Linked DNA regions of Oryzias latipes. The protein of the gene in region 1 binds, or shares a complex with, the protein of each later gene. Links are inferred from orthologs where the notes say so. Each region holds a gene or a part of one and is shown on either strand. Other genes may lie near its edges.

Region 1 (4,202 bases):
AGTTTCAACTTGTTTTTTCTTTATATTAACAAAAAAAGATTTAAATATTTTCCAACTGTAATGGAAACGTTGGCTAAAAAAGTTTCATCCTATTTTAAAAGAGCACCTTTGGCCCCTTTCCTAAGAAATTTTGGAAACACCTCTAAAAACAATTCATATCTACTTTTATAAAAATGCACAAAACATAATTCCTCACTAATACAAAACTTAAAAAAAAAACACAAATTTTAAAAACTTTTGTTCCTTCGCTCTAGAGGAAAAATACTTTAAAATGGGTTTAAAAAAAGCTGTTTGTCACTTGAAAAACATTTAAAAATGACTCCTTTCAGCTTACATTTTCATTTATTTACATTTTTTAACTTTCACATAAATTTCTACTTTCGAAAAGTATAATCTGTAAAAAACAACTGTCTACTTTTGTTTCCTTTTACATTTATTATAATTATTCATTCATTCATCTTCTGCTGCTGTTTTATCCCTTTCGGAGTCACTGGGCTGCTGGAGCCTATCCTGGCCACTTGTGGGTGAAGGCAGGGTACATTTTAACAGTTCAATGTATTTACAATTTAAATCAATATTCTCTTGTTTCATTCCAGATTTTAAGACTTTCACTCAACATTCTTGTGAATATTATAGTTTTATTGTGAGACACAGCATTTCTGCGAGTCTCTGCGACCAAGTAGGGGCACTTTTCAGTGTCCATATATCCAGTGTCCATATACCGGATCCAAGCCTGGATAGAAAGGAAGGAGTTGTGTTAAAGAATGGTAGCTTCTTAAAACTGAATATTGATTTTATTTATTTTTATATCAATAATTCATAGAATACCGAGAAAAACAATATTTACAAATTTTAACGAAAATATATATTTTTTTTATTTTCTTGATAATTGGAACTATGGTGCCTAATTTTTATTTTTATTTTTCTATGTGCGTTTAGGGCTTTGGTATAGACCTTTACTTTGTCATATTAAAAAGGTTCTATTATCATACAATTTAAACTGAAAAGAAAACACAGAGTCCCTTTATATATATATCTAAGTATCTAAGTATCTATCGATCGATCGATCGAGAGATATATATATATATATATATATATATATATATATATATATATATATATATATATATATATATATATATATATATATGTGTGTGTGTGTGTGTGTGTGTGTGTGTGTGTGTGTGTGTGTGTGTGTCTGTGTGTGTGTAATGGTTAGTGGTTGACGAAGTATGCATTTTCAATTATTAACGCACACCGTGGAATATATTTGTATTTATATTTATATCAATATATATATATATTTATATCTATATATAACAATACATAATGAAAAACCTCAGCATAAACTTTTATTTAATCAGAATTCTTACTTTGAATATTTGCATAGAATAAAATAAAGCGTACGCGTTTACGACACATTGACGTACGGCTGACGCGTGACGTGTCTCTCTTGGAACACAACAATGGCGGACGCTGTAGAGGAAGCTCTTCAGGGAAGCTGGTAAGAATTTTCCTTCTAGCATTTTCCCTTCTGTGTTATTCTAAGCGTCAACATGTCTTGACAAATTGTTATCGACTGATTTGACGCGTAAATAATCGACGCAGGTGAGCTGCTTCCTTAACGGTCAATTTTAAAGCCAGCTAGTAGTTTAGCTAGCGAATGCTAGCCTGCTAATAATAAAGAGTAATCAGTGGCGACTTGTTTATCCAATTTCTTGTTTTGGTTGACAGTGCACGTGCTAAAATAAAAGCAATAGATATTTTTTCCCAATAAGTATTTACACAATGTGGAATACTTTTGCTTAAGTCAGCGGAAAACTTAAGTCAGCCTTTTGGCTCTCGTAACTTGACAGTTACCGGTTTCTCTGTTAACTGCCTCTTTTAAGTCATTTTCTGACCAGCATTTTTGTTTTGATTTATTTTTTACCTGTTCTAACATATAATTACATATAGTGTAAAAATCTCCACGCCATTCTGTCAGTCAGTGCCGGTGAAGTTAACTCACTGCTTAAGGACTGATTTAACCCTTGTGCTATCTTAGATGACCCCACCCTTATTTCTTCCTACCATGACAAAGGTGGATAAAGGTGGAAAGATTTCATGTAATCCATGGACACCAGTGAGGATCACAAATCATTGAAGAAAAAAGGTTCAGAGCACTGTCTAGTGGGTCTAGATGACCCAACTCCCAATGTTAAAGTGCCTAGGATAGCACAAGGGTTAATGGAAGTGGTGATAACATAGAGGTCCTGTTTGTCATAATCCATAATAGTCCATATTAGTTAGGCATTTGCTTGGAAACAAATTGATGTGAAAGCCACTCTGTACCTATTTAAAAAAAGTCTATATTATTGGTTTCTTAATCTTTTTTAATTTTAAAATTACTAAAAATCAACAAGATGATCTCATGTTTGATAGCATTTCAATCACACATCGTTTTTAATGCATTCAGGGGGAAAAAAAGCATTAATATGCTGCATAATGTATAAAAGTCCTCAGAATTAATGGATTGCTGTGTCTGTTAATCAGGGATCAGGAGCTAGCTGAGGCTCTGGACTCTGGGAGCTCTGACATGGAGATGGACAGAGGGATCGCTCAGGTCCAAGAGCAACCAGCACAACACAGAGTCAAGATGTGGACGGTGAGAAACTTGTTAGGTCCTTCTTAACAGATGGGAAAATAGCTTTATATTTTTGTGAAAAATGGTTATTAGTCAGGGGGAAATCTTGGATTGTTTTGTTTAAATTCCTGCCCATACAGATTACTGACGAATCACAAATTAGTTCACCAGTAAAATCCTCTGAGCAAAAAAGAAGTGCAGAAAAATAACGGTAAAAGGAAATTCAACTGTTCACTAAAACAAAAACACTAAAGGTGAAAGATTTAAAACCCCACTCAAATGAAAATTGCGTTTTTGATGTTTTTAACATGTTTTTAGTATTTTTCTGATGCTGAGGGGGGGATGTATAAAAAAAAGCAAAAATGAATTTCTGAGTATTTAATTGTTGTTTATTAGGATCAGAGAAAGAAATGCAGTTTTAAAAAGAAATTGTATTTGTTGCTAGGAGAATAAGCTGAGTTGGCTATAAGCTCTCTGCTCCATTCTGATGCCTCCACTTGTAGACAAACAGATCCATGTACATCTTTGTTTTCCTCGTCCGAGCTGGTATCTGGATCAAAACTGTACAGCTGGATAGCTCCAATATTGCTCACCATTTTTGTTGCACCGCTAATGTTAGATTGGCGGTGTAGATGGGTAACAGATTGGTAATGGGAAGTGGGGGCGGGGTTGCACCACACCAACTGTCCTGCCCACTACTGAGAAGTGAATTTCTGATGAACTCCTGCCGCTCTGCAGAAACGATGTCAAAAAGCAACACAGGGGTTTTTTGATTTTGGCTAACAACGGCGTAATCGTGATTTAAAAGACCACTGGGAATGCTTAGACAAAAAAATCAAAAAATTATCTGAGTGGGTCTTTGAATTAGAAATAATGATTTCTTTACAGCTTACTTACCAGCTGTTGAATATTAAAATACTGTACTACTCAAATTACAGGATGTTCATTAGGACAGAGAGTGAACCAGGGAGGGCTCCAGTTAGAAATGACAGTTATGCTGGATTTTTATTAAAATAAGCAAAGGTCAAACAGGAAGCTAGAACTTCAAATCATCAATAATTTCGTGTAACTACATAAAAAGTTAAAAAAAAGACTAAAATGAAACATTCAGTGCTTTGGCAGAGGTTAAGACACTTAAAGTGTTCTATTGAGGTTAAATATGCTGGAATGCAAAAGTGAGTCTGTCTCTAACTTTGGAGTAGTACTGGAAATACCAGCCTTTCATGTTTAAAAGGAAGTTTCGCTGTCTAATAATGACACTTCTCCCACTCTGACGTAAGCAACACTCCTGTCATTGTTTGAATTTTTGCTTTTGGATTGTTCTCTACAGGTAATGAGAGTTAAACCAAAGCTTTGCTTTCTAAAATCTGAATTCACTTTGAGTCCTTGTGCTTGATGATTTATTTTGGTACTTCTATTTGTAAATAAAGCTCTGGGCAGGTTTTTGAATGGAACATAAAGTGTTATTGTCTAAAACATGTTGTTTCAGAGAGATAGCCCATTAAGTTTTATTGTTAAATTATGAAGACGTATTTTATTTAAATATAAGCTTTATTTCTCAGCATTGAATGTTTTTTTG
Region 2 (4,054 bases), on another chromosome or scaffold:
GACACACAGATTATGAGTCCGCCGAACTGACAAAAGTGACACACGTGCTGGTGGAGCAGATGTTTTCTGCAGTTCATCCCTGTTCCAACATCTACCTCACCCAGAAACGATTCACTGCAGCAAAACGTCATAGTGAAAGTGAATATTTCTGTTGACTTGCATGTATTCTCTTTTTAAAACAGCATTTGTGAAAATGTGCACACTCAGAGTCTTGGATTGTTATTTACTATGGACAGCTGGATCAGTTTCCCTGAAGGGACAAAAAATGAGTTTTACTTTATTGCTCACTTCACATGTTTTTGCCAAGGCCATAGTTGAAATCAGGCCGATTCTATGAACACTGAGGAATTTATTTTTCATAATCAAACATTTGCTTTATTATGAAAATGTGCTACAAATCCCTTTTTCCAAGGTAATGAAGTATCAAAAAATTTGCTCTCAAGAAGGAACAGTTTCACTTCAAAATAATATTACTCAAGATGAAAAAAGTAGTCAAAAATATTGAGTAAAAGGGGAAGAACTCAGCAGATGGTTTTGGAAGACCAATTAACAGTTTATCAGATTGTCTTGTGAAATCAGGCAGAACAAAAACAAAAAAATAATGTGCAAATTTTGGTATTTAAAAAAACATGTTTTTTTTCATAACAACAATCCTGTCACTGATGTGTCTAAAAAAATATGGATGCAGGATGTTGGATTTTGTCAAAATGTCATAAAAGTATAATGAAGGTTTGGCCAATTTTATTCTTTTGCACCTCTTTTATAAGCATTGAAAGTAGGTTGTTATCTTTCACTGATATTTCAAAATAACTAGGTATCTTACTTTATGAAGTGTATTCAGTCTCAATAATCAGAAATGGAGACAAACTGTTTCACAAATACACATGCTCTGATTCACAACTATACATTTATGCAAACATGTAACATAAATTCATAAATCCACATGAAGCTTAAATATATATTTGTGAATCAGAGTGTGTGCATTTCTGATTGAGACTGAACAAGCTTCTTAAACTGATGAAAATAATTGTGTGACAAAATTCATAAATTCAAAAATAAAATGAAGTACCATAAAAGAATTTAGAGCACAACACATTTTATATAACTTACTATAAAACTCTAGGAACCTCGTTTTTAATCACTTTTCCAGTGATTGTAATTGAATGTTCCTTCCAGAACCAGTAGGTGGCAATAACTACCAGTTTGTCAGATTTGTTGGTGTAAATGATAGTAGAAGAAGAAAATGATGACGTGGGTGTTTACGTTGTCCTACTTCCGTAGCTCTTTGGTAGCGAAGAGGCGGCTTTTCTAACCCGATCCTAAATTCCAAATTTGACAGGACACCGGCGGCCATGTTAACTATCATTAATCCTTTATTCAGAGATGTTTAAAATATCCATCTTTAAGCTTTTGAACGTCTTATATCGGAACTGCCTCGCTTGTTGTCCTCATTAGTCACAAACTAAGCTAACGCTAGTGATAACTTAGCAGCGAGTCAGTCAGTGTACCAAATTTCCTCCACCATCGGCTGATCTGCACTGATTGTCATTAGACCTCAAGCAAGGCAGTCATGGCCACTCGGCGTCTGACAGATGCCTTCTTGTTAATGCGGAACAATGCAATCCAAAATCGGAACATATTGGCTGAGCAAGTGAGTACATACGAGCCCCGTCTGAGTACACGTAGCAATGCTGCGGTGAGTGGTCTGCATCGTTTTGACATTTTTACTGTGTGTTTGCGTTTAGCCAGTGAACCAGCCCCCCTAGCTAGAGTCATACTGTATTTTTTATGTATTTTTGATCAGATTGGATTGTCTTCGTGAGTGTTGGTGTAGTGTTGTAGCAGCCCAAACCAGTCTGTGTCAAACAGGATGAAGACAATGCAGTTTAGTTAAAAATTAGGTTTTGTGTTGTGTATATTTTTTTCACAATTAATTGCAGTTCTTAAAAACAAAAAAGGACTTTAACTTTGTCGTTTGAAATGTGCAATTCATGCAGCATACTTTTATGTCCACGTGTGCTGCACTTTGATTCTGACTCGCCCACACTGGTTGTTTCACTGTGACAAATTGAACACAAAACTATTTTCTTTTTACTTCACTTTGTACCTTAACAGCATGCTAAAAAGCTTTCTTCCTTCATATTTTCTTCCAGCAGGGTTCATCTTAAGGTTTTATATGTCCCATAAGTCTTGAATTTACAAATTCACAGGTATGCCCCTGAAAAGGTGTGATGTTTGAAAGGAGAGGTCTTAAATTATTTGGTTATAATTTTTTTTATTGTAATGTGTGAAACCGTGTCGATAAATCAACTTAAAAAGTATTGGTTGTTTACTTAGCGCCACCAATTATAATCCAACAAACCACTTTTGGCCCCTCAGTCAGAAATGATGACAGAACACAAACAGTTGCTCTGAAATCGACTGCCAGCAAAGGAGCAGCATCTCTGTTGACACCAGTGGAAGAGATTTTTAAGGCTCTGTGCACCATTTGTCTGTATAATAAAGAAAAGACAATGAATTCTGTTTTAAAATAGTCTTTTGAAGTCTTTTACCTAATTTGTTCCACTGGAGCGATGTAGCAAAGGCTTTATAGAGCTGATAATTTTACAAGACTGCTACACAGAACACAGAGCCAACCTACTCTAAAGACTAAAACTTCTAACTCTTTAAAGTCCCACTCCAATCCTTTTTAATCAGCCCCCACCTAGCGTTTCTGGTGCAACAAAAATGATGAGAAATGTTGGAGCTATCCAGAAACAAAGATGTACATGAATCTATTTGTCTGCAAGTGGATGCATCAGAATGGAGCGGAGCTGGTAGCTCCTACGTGACAGCTAAAACCTTTTTCAAACGGCATTTATGAGTTTGCTCCTAATTCCCAACAATGTGAATGATGAAATACTCAGAAACACAATTTTAAGCTTAATTGTCTATATATGTGTCCTTCGTTAGGGGAAAAATGCCACAAGAACAAGACAAGATGAGATAACAATGGTTTATTGATCCCAGCTTGAGAAATGTGGTTGTTGCAGCGACCGTATACAGGCTCAATACAAACAAATAAAAATAAAAAGCAATGAGTGACAATCAGGGAAATATGGGAGAATATATCGAAACGGGTTAACTATGGCGAATGGAGGATGAGTTATAAAGTTCAATGGAGTGAGTTAGGAATGATCTCCTGTAGCGGTTGGATGTTAATAAAGAAAGGTGTGAAATAAAGAAAATTCTAAAAACAGGATTTTCATTGGAGCGGGCATTTAATAAATCTTTGTAGAGTTAAAAGAACTTGAATAATACTATTTAAACATAAAGTAAAAGTATAAAACAAATAAACAATCTGATTATCACGTTAAATCACTGAATATTTATTATTTAGTCTTATTAAAAGTGCATGTATTAATGGTGAATTCACATCAAATTTTGTAGTTTGTGTTAAAAAAGGGCATAACTAGAGAAAACCCTGACATGAAGCTGGAAGCTGGCAATGTAGCTTAATCCCTGTGAAGAGTTTGGTAGTTTTACCTGCTAGCTAGTACATTTTCTCTTGCTTTTGTTGTTGTTGTAGACTTTAATCTGTTTTTTAGTAAAAAAAAATAAAAATAAATATATATATATATATATATATATATATATATATATAAATCAAATAAATATATATATATATATATATATATATATATATATATATAAATCAAATAAATATATATATATATATATATATATATATATATATATATATATATATATATATATATATATATATATATATATATATATATATATATATATATTTATTTGATTTATTAAATTGCGTCCAAGCAATGTGGATAGAAATCTGTGCAATACCACTTAAGTTAGCAAACAAAAGATGCTTGAAATATTGGAAAATATTGACCCAGGTGTCAGTTTTTCGTTCAGGCCTGTCAATGAACAAACAGACCTGAAAAGACGATCCCTGAAGCAGCTTTTTCTGCCAGTGGAAAGATCAGATTTCAGCTCTGCAAAGCTGCAGCACGCTCAGGTGTAGGATTACTGACTTTCAATGACATTT

What was found. The genes of interacting proteins can lie anywhere in the genome.
Region 2: the proteins of tbc1d23 (region 1) and stx16 are in contact, whole or in part, in a crystal structure (PDB 8QQF), measured with the Homo sapiens proteins. The link is inferred for Oryzias latipes from reciprocal best matches to the Homo sapiens genes TBC1D23 and STX16. Residues at the interface, in NP_001186127.1 of Homo sapiens: Leu638, Asn639, Ser640, Val641, Val642, Lys643, Ile644, Thr645, Ser646, Lys647, Lys648, Ser661, Ser662, Ala663, Ile666, Thr683, Lys687, Ile690, Met691; in NP_001001433.1 of Homo sapiens: Asp209, Asp210, Asn211, Thr212, Leu213, Tyr214, His215, Arg216, Phe218, Thr219, Glu220.

The regions. Positions count from the first base shown.
Region 1 is NC_019862.2:28,284,969-28,289,170, reverse strand, and holds the start of tbc1d23 (TBC1 domain family member 23), read left to right. Parts: upstream 1-1,402; 5' UTR 1,403-1,466; coding exon 1,467-1,504; intron 1,505-2,532; coding exon 2,533-2,644; intron 2,645-4,202. UniProt on the Homo sapiens protein: Putative Rab GTPase-activating protein which plays a role in vesicular trafficking. Involved in endosome-to-Golgi trafficking.
Region 2 is NC_019863.2:27,695,515-27,699,568, reverse strand, and holds the start of stx16 (syntaxin-16), read left to right. Parts: upstream 1-1,245; 5' UTR 1,246-1,570; coding exon 1,571-1,696; intron 1,697-4,054. UniProt on the Homo sapiens protein: SNARE involved in vesicular transport from the late endosomes to the trans-Golgi network.